Tribolium castaneum: one gene and its partner. The protein of the gene in region 1 interacts with the protein of each later gene in a pairwise test. Links are inferred from orthologs where the notes say so. Each region holds a gene or a part of one and is shown on either strand. Other genes may lie near its edges.

The links.
Region 2: the proteins of Nup50 (region 1) and Pen interact in a two-hybrid assay, tested with the Drosophila melanogaster proteins (2 studies listed by BioGRID). The link is inferred for Tribolium castaneum from reciprocal best matches to the Drosophila melanogaster genes Nup50 and Pen.

What each region holds. Positions count from the first base shown.
Region 1 is NC_087402.1:5,415,368-5,419,093, reverse strand, and holds Nup50 (nuclear pore complex protein Nup50), read left to right. Parts: upstream 1-1,735; 5' UTR 1,736-1,949; coding exon 1,950-2,108; intron 2,109-2,162; coding exon 2,163-3,164; 3' UTR 3,165-3,203; downstream 3,204-3,726. Other genes in the region: zinc finger protein ztf-16, read left to right, coding at 1-99, 152-856; mip130 (protein lin-9 homolog), read right to left, coding at 3,463-3,726.
Region 2 is NC_087397.1:4,706,576-4,711,026, forward strand, and holds Pen (importin subunit alpha-5), read left to right. Parts: upstream 1-1,560; 5' UTR 1,561-1,720; intron 1,721-1,767; exon of another isoform or gene 1,768-1,810; 5' UTR 1,811-1,843; coding exon 1,844-1,897; intron 1,898-1,946; coding exon 1,947-2,311; intron 2,312-2,356; coding exon 2,357-2,927; intron 2,928-2,979; coding exon 2,980-3,162; intron 3,163-3,210; coding exon 3,211-3,393; intron 3,394-3,439; coding exon 3,440-3,586; intron 3,587-3,631; coding exon 3,632-3,727; 3' UTR 3,728-3,846; downstream 3,847-4,451. Other genes in the region: CCT8 (T-complex protein 1 subunit theta), read right to left, coding at 1-815, 913-972; shtd (anaphase-promoting complex subunit 1), read right to left, coding at 3,889-4,260, 4,308-4,451. UniProt on the Drosophila melanogaster protein: Binds specifically and directly to substrates containing either a simple or bipartite NLS motif. Promotes docking of import substrates to the nuclear envelope. Seems to act as a cytosolic receptor for both simple and bipartite NLS motifs.

The DNA of each region.
Region 1 (3,726 bases):
CGTTCGACGGATAACGCAACCCCACCTATGCATTTTCTAACACCACACGTGGAGATTTCAATGGCCGATGCTCCGGCGCCCGTCTTTTCCCCGAATCTTGTAAGTCCAGTTTCAAAGCGATTTAGTCCTGTTTCTTAGACAGTTTGTTTAGAACGACCAGCGTTCGAATTTGCCGGGCCAAAGCGGCGAAGTGTCCCAAAGGATAAACGGCGAGTGTCCCGGCTCCCCTCAATCAGCCGACTCCAATTCGAATGCTCCGTCCAGCAGCCATATTCAACCAAATTCCCTTAGAATAGACCAAGAAACGAACATAACGCCCTCAATTTCCCTCATCCCCATAAAACAGGAACCTGGAGACGAGCTGTACGACGTTTCCAAACGAAACGGCCCTAACCCAAGCACCTCTCCCTCGGGAAGCGTACAAATGCAAACAGCGACCTCAAGTAGCCTTAGCTCGTTAATCAAAGTGTCTCCGTTGAAGAGCTTACTTCGTGACGATTTAAAGAGGAAGATCGTCTCGCGGATGAACTCCTCGCCAAGGGGGCGCTCCACCGCGAGTCCCAACCAGAATCCTGAGACTTCGCCCAGTGACACGGCGACCACCACCAATGGGGCTATCACCTCGACGGGGCCCGAACAACCGTCGGACTCCTCCCTGTGGCGGGCGATGGGCAAAAGGTCTTTGTCTAGTTTACAATGTATTTTCTGCGGGATCGGATTTCCAGACCAGACTTTGTACTTTTTGCATAAAGGGTGTCACTCCGACGCGAATCCTTGGAAATGCAATATCTGCGGAGAGCAGTGCTGCAATGTTTACGAGTTTAATTCGCATTTGTTGAGTAAAAGTCATCAGTAGGCTCGATTTACTTAAACTATGACATACTTTGTAAAGTTTAGATTAGTTCAAGTTTCATACAGTTTTACACGGAAAAATTGAGTATGTGATAATTTGTTGTAGAAATTGTTGATGCATTTCTTGTTTTTGAACAAGTTCAGGGTTTTATGGGTACATTTACGAGCATTCCGTTTAGTTTCATTCCCTTTTGGAAATTGTCCAAGTGCCTGCCGGTTGCCTATAAGCAAAATTACCTGAAGATTTGCTCTAAACTCATATCCGTCCATTAGTAAGAAGAGAGGTATATTTACAAGCATGATATTTTCCAAAATATATTGTAAAGCAAGTGCTTAGTCTCTATAGTTGGAGCTTCATTACATTGTTACATAAATTAGAATTAAGTTTTACATTTTATATATACATTCCATTTTAGTGTATTGTTGATTCCATGAGACAGAAACAAAATAGTTTGTACAGTATTTATTGTTATATTTTATGGTAATTTTATTTCGTGCAATATATTTTGCAGTGCCTTAAACAAAATTGCACTCGGACGTTTAAGTTCATTTAAATTTTTTTACGAAGTAAGGATTTTATTTTCGTAGGCAATTATCGTAGTGTAGATAGTAGGGCGACATGTTACATTCCTTCAGTTCATTCAAAAATATAGATATATTTTTTTTTTATTTATACACAAAATGTAAATTACAAATTCTTGTAATTCTGGTGAAAGGGTTAAATAAACTTTATGGAATTTTCGTCTCGCTTCGTTTCAATTACACCAGTCTAAAAACAAACACCGGAAAGAAGTCAAAAAATGAGATTCGTATCCGCTACGACTGGCAAAAAATTCCACCGGAAAAATACCGCCAAATTTTAAGTTCGTAGTCACGTGATTAAATTCCCGCCAATCAGCGTTTGCCTGATACGAGCCGGCACGCATAGTGGTTGTCAATTTTTGTAAATTATTTTACCCAAAAAAGTGCTTAAAACGAATTTTTCCGTCTCACGACATGCAAATCATTAAATAAGCCAATTCTGTGATAGTCTATGTTTTGTGAAATTGTTTGGAAGTGTGTCGGTATCTTAACCTCGCAAATTCGTTTCTCCATTTATGGCTAAAAGAACGGCAACAAGTGATTTAAATCACGATAATTGGGATAGGGAGGACGAACCAGAGACGGCTGGAACGTTTACAAAAGCTTCAGATGAAGCTTTGAAGAACAGAGTTATAAAAGTTGCCCGCAGGAGGAACCCCATATCATCAGTCCAAGTCAGTACGGTTTCTAATGTGTGTTGTTTGATTACGAACAATTTTAATTTTTAGAGTGACGATAGCAAACCCAGCGCATTCGGTGGTTTTTCTGGGTTTGGTAAAACGCCAAGTAGTGCATCCAACACGTTTGGATTTTTGTCAAACTTAAATAAAACCGAGACTAGTAAAACCAACGGAACTACGGAAAAAGAAGCAGAGACTTCCGACAAGAAATTAGACGAATATTATGCCAAATTAAAAGGATTAAATGAAAGTGTCACTGAATGGATAAAAAAACACGTGTCATCAAACCCGTTTATCAACTTACAACCAATTTTCAAAGATTACGATAAATATATCAACGAACTTGAAAAGGCGAAAGGCGAGGCAGCGTCAGAAACATCAACTAGTGCCACAACTGCGCCCCAATTTTCCTTTGGTACAACCTCTACAACCACAACTCCTAAATTTTCATTTGGGGCCACTTCTACCGCATCCACAGGATTTTCATTTGGCTCCAGTACCACAACAGTTAGTTTCACTTCAAGCACTAGCACAGCTACCCTATCAGGAGGCGACAGCTCCTTTAAATCGCAACCGTTTTCGTTTGGTAATTCAGGCTCTGACAGCGGCAAATTTTCATTCACAAGCACTGTCATAAAACTAGCAGATGAGCCAAAGCCCCAAGAGCAAGAAGACGAAGACGAGCCGCCCAAAGTTGAGTTTACGCCAGTGGTAGAAGAGGGACACATTTATTCAATCAGATGCAAGGTTTTTGTGAAGAAGGATGGCACTTTTGGAGACCATGGCGTGGGCACTCTGTACCTCAAGCCAGTCCCAAACGGCGAGAAAGTCCAACTCATCGTGCGCGCTGATACGAATTTAGGAAAATTAATTTGTAATTTCATTTTGTCGGAAAGTATCCCAATGCAAAGGATGGGGAAAAAGGATGTTATGTTAGTTTGTATTCCAAATCCAGACACGCAACCTCCACCCGTGCCGATTTTATTGCGGGTGAAAAGTCCGGAAGATGCCGATGAGTTGTTGAAAACTTTGCAGAAACACAAAAAATAGGCTAGGGGTGATTAGCTCAATAAAATATTTTTCTAAGTAGACGTTTTTTTTTTCAAACCAATTTTGATAAAAATTTGAACAGTTCTAAAATTACATATGGTGCCTCATATATACATTTTTATTAATTACACAAGTAAAATATACACATTCTGTGAAATACCCACAAAAATACAGTAATTATAAATAAAACCCGCGGTAAACAGTAAGATAAAACGAGACGTGTAAATCGAAATTGTGGCCATTATAGTATTGCACAGCATTCTGCTTTAAAAACCTGCATTTTTAAAGAAAAAAAGTATCATAGTTTGGAAATTCCATTTATGGCGAGTTTTTTATCTAAATTTTGCCCGAGACCGACTTGAATGTGTTTCATGTGAATTTCGACGGAGTTCTGGAACACTAGTTGATTACTTGGCGTCAACTTCCTCTTGATTTGTTCCATCGTGCCTTGGAGCACTTGCAATTCGTATGCGTTTTGATCCGAATCGGCCAAACTTTTTACTTGCAACATCAAAGCCGTGAGATCGGTGATGAGTTCCAGAATCGATTTATTCTTAACTGG
Region 2 (4,451 bases), on another chromosome or scaffold:
ACTATCACCTTAGCCCCAGTGTCGGCAATTGACTTGATCTGTATTTCCAAGAGATTCTCCTCTCCCCTACTAAAATTCATCAACTCATCTGCGGTTTTGATCAAAACGGTTCCCTTGGTCTCAGTTTGCATGATATCGACTGCACAGCTGAAAACAGCAACTTTGGCGTTCTGCACTTTAGTGATTTCGCCCTCGACGTGTCTCTTAAACACCATTCCTTGGACAACTTGCGAGCTTTGCAAACCCGAACCTAGCACCTTGCAAACACGCACATTGTCAACGTTGAATGTGGTGTCCTCGGGCAGGATTGAAACACACGCTTTGGCCACTAAATTAGCCAAAAAGTCCTCGTGTCCGTACTGTTTTGACTGAATCGAGGTTCTAATCCCTTTAACGACCTCATTCAAGTTTCTGTAATCCTTGATTTCGTAACAGACTAGTTTCGGGAGGATTTCGAGACACTTTTCCAGGGCTTTCTCATAGCCCTCGGCCACTTCGGTCGGCGTGACCCCCAGTCTGATCAGCTCTTCCGAGGCCTCCAGAAGGGCCCCAGCCAGGATAATGACAAAGTTTGTGCCATCACCAACCTCGGAATCTTGCATTTGACTCGCGAGAATCATTAATTTGGCCGCGGGATGTTCAATATCCAGTTCTCTAATAATAGTGGCGGCATCACTGGTCACAAACTGCTTCTCAAGGTGGTTTATCACCATCTTGTTCATGCCATTGGGGCCGTAAGCCGAACGCACGGACTGGGCAAATTCCTTGCAAGCGTTAATATTTCGAATGACGGCTTCTTCGAGGCCGGAGTAGTGCTAGAAAATGCGAAATTTGAGAGATTTACGCCGATTTGCCGGCCCTTGTGCCGACCACATGTCACTTCGGGGATCGATTTTGGAAATTAGGACTTACCCGGGCGCCTTCTTTCAACATCTGGGCGAAGCCCGGGGCTTTAGGGACGTGAAGAGCCATTTTTGAGACCGATTTATTTTTTTATAAGCGAAATATTAATAATCGAAAAAGTTTGCACAACAATGGACATGTGAACTTTTGGTGACTAATTTGGTGGGTTCAGCGCCACCAACATGGGCAAGAAATAGAACCAAATGGCACGGCTGCTCATGCATGCGCATTGGTTTACGCTCGCTTTTTAAAATTCGGGATCGGGAAAAAAAACTGTATTTTAACTCCCGGCAATCCATTACAATCCCGGCAGCGTCATCAGCAATTCTCGAGGGTCTAAGCATGCAACTCGCATACGTTCGTTGCATAACGTCAGTCGTCGAGCTTTAAACTTGTGTTTTTGCACTCGTATTATTTATTTATTTTTTAATCCTCTTTAAGTGAAATGTCGAAAAATTAAGGCATTTAATTCACAGAATGGTAATTCTTTGTTCGTGAGTTGGGCCCAATCTTACCTTCGCATTTTAAATTTTCCGAAATTGGATTGGCTATAAATCGGCGCGAAGCACCATCCACTCATATTCAAATAATTCTCCAAATTTGATAATTCTATTGGCCAATTTGGTGGGACTGCTTTTCTATTGGCCAAGTGAAGCTTGCTCGTTATTGGCTGCCCGTCATTAATTGTCAGTGTGACGTTCAGGAACTGCAACGGAAATTTTGACCGTAGAATTTTTGTCGTTTTATTTTTTAATCGGTTGTGGAGACTATTCACTAATAGTTTTAATAGTTTTGGTGCCTAGTTTAAATATAATAGGTGAGTAGATAATCAATGCCCGAATCAGATGAATTAACCTAAAAAAGGCCCTTGAAATATCAAATCAATTTTTTGTTCTTCACCTATCAGTGACCCTGTTGCACGTTTCTAACTTCCAGAAAAATGGGAGACGAGAACAGGATCCGTTCGTTTAAAAACAAGGGAAAAGACTGTGAAGTGAGTATCAATCATGTGCAATTTTGCGATTTTGAGACTTCTCGTGTAGGAAATGCGCCGCCGACGGGCCGGCCAGACCATCGAACTGCGGAAAGCAAAAAAGGAAGACCAGTTGTTGAAGAGGCGCAACATATCGTTGCAAGAAGAGGCCTCAACTCCCCTTCAGGAGAACAACTCCGTGTCGCTGATCACCATGTCTGCCGAAGAAATCTTGATGGGTAATAACCCCACTCCCGACTTGCCCCATTTTAATGACCTGATAACAGGAATGATGAGCCCTGACGAGAACCTCCAGTTTAAGGCCACCCAAGCCTGCCGCAAAATGCTCAGCCGCGAGCGGAACCCCCCAATCGACCACATGATCCGCTTGGGGGTTGTCCCGCGATGCGTCGAGTTCCTGGGCAAGACCCACAAGTAAGCGAGAGCCTAGCCTTGCATCTTATTAATTTTTTTAAACAGCCCATCGCTGGTGTTTGAGGCTTGCTGGGCCCTCACGAACATCGCGTCTGGCACTTCCGAGCAGACCGCAGCCGTGGTCCAGGAGGGCGCCCTTCCTAAGCTCCAACAGCTGCTCTCCTCAAACCGCATCGACGTCGTGGAGCAGGCCATCTGGGCGATTGGTAACATTGCAGGTGATGGGCCCGAGAGCCGCGATTTGGTGCTCAACTACGGCGTTTTGCCCAGTCTTATCAACTTAATCAAACCAAACACTACCTTGTCCTTGTTACGCAATACTGTGTGGGTTATTTCTAATCTTTGCCGCAATAAAAATCCGTACCCCGATTTTGAGTTAGTCAAGCCGGCTTTACCCGTCTTGGCGAGACTTTTGTCGCATGACGATAAGGATGTTTTGGCCGACACGTGCTGGGCTTTGAGTTATTTAACCGATGGTAGCAATGAGAAAATTCAAGCGGTGCTTGACACCGGTTTAATTGACCGCCTAGTTATGCTTTTGTATAGTGAGGAAAGTACCGTCCTAACTCCGGCCTTGAGGGCCGTTGGTAACATTGTGACCGGAAACGACCATCAGGTATAAGGCCACTCAATCAATTGTTAAAAGTATTAATAATTTCGTTTGGTAGACTGATATGGTGATCAATGCCGGGGCTTTAGATTGTATGATCCGTTTATTGCAACACAGTAGACTGAACATTGTCAAAGAAGCTGCCTGGACAGTTTCAAACATTACTGCCGGAAATAGTGAGCAAATCCAAAAAGTCCTAGATGCCGGGATTTTGCCTTATCTTCTTCACGTCCTACAAACCGTATTGTTGCCACGCTTTGTCCGATTTTTCCTAAAACGTGACTTTTAGGGCGACTTTAAATCGCAAAAAGAGGCAGCTTGGGCTGTTACTAATTTCACAAGTGGCGGGAATTCCGCCCAATTGGCGCAACTTGTGGAAATGGGGGCGTTGAAACCCATGTGTAATCTCCTGAATTCCAAAGATAGCAAGACTATTATCGTGGTGTTGGAGGGATTGAATAACATTTTATCGGTGAAAAAAAATTTGTGTTGGAATTTTGTCTAATTGTCGATTTTAGGCCGCTGCCAAGTTAAATCAAGCCGAGAAAGTGGCCATAATGATTGAGGAGTGTGGCGGTTTGGACGGTATTGAGGCCTTGCAAAGTCACGACAATGAGAAAGTCTACGAACGGGCTTTGCACATTATCGAGAATTATTTCGCCGATGTGAGTTATTTTGTGGGTAAATTGTTTTGTAATTTGAGGTTTCAGGGTGAGGAGGGAGTCACTGTTACTGTAGCAAATGGGGAGATTCAGTTCGCTACTCCTAATATGGCCGATCAACAACAATCACCCTTTTCCTTCTAAGTTTCAACCGATGCGTTTAGTTCATTCCTTATTGTGTTAGTGACACGTTTTGTATTTTTATAGTCTGTATTACGATATGTTCCCAGTTTTCGAAATAAAAATTATGTTAAACCTTGAAATTAGTTTTATTTCACATTTATTTATAAAAAATACAGCTTCTTTCACATCCTTAGCCTCATAATTTTCTCTAAGGTACTAACGGAATATTTGTCTTGAAGTTTAAGCATCACTTCTAATGGATCACCTTCTGCACTTTCCCTAAATGGTATATCGTAAAATATCACATACATGGCTAGCCTATTCAAGGTTTCTTTATCAAAAGCCAAGTCGGCGCCCCTTGTATACGCTTCTAAGGCGGGGGCCAAGCCAGGTTCCCAATCTTCTAAAACTTCTAACATTTGTTGCTTTATGGCCAACATTACTTCCGGTTGAATTAAATTACAAGCTAAGGGAGTTGATATTATTTGTGCAAACAGCAACTTGACTTGCCAAAAGTTCAAGGCGTTTGGTAACAATCTCATATCACGAACGACCTGAACATAAAATCATTATTTAATAAATACATGAGTCTTGACATTACCTTTAACAGAAAACTAATAACCGGTATGACAACAAGTTTGTCTTTCACGACAGCGTCGTACGTCGCTTTAGTCAGCATTCGTGTTAATTTCAATTCTTGCGGACTTAGTTTATCAGTTGAGAGAAAATGATCACAGAAATACTT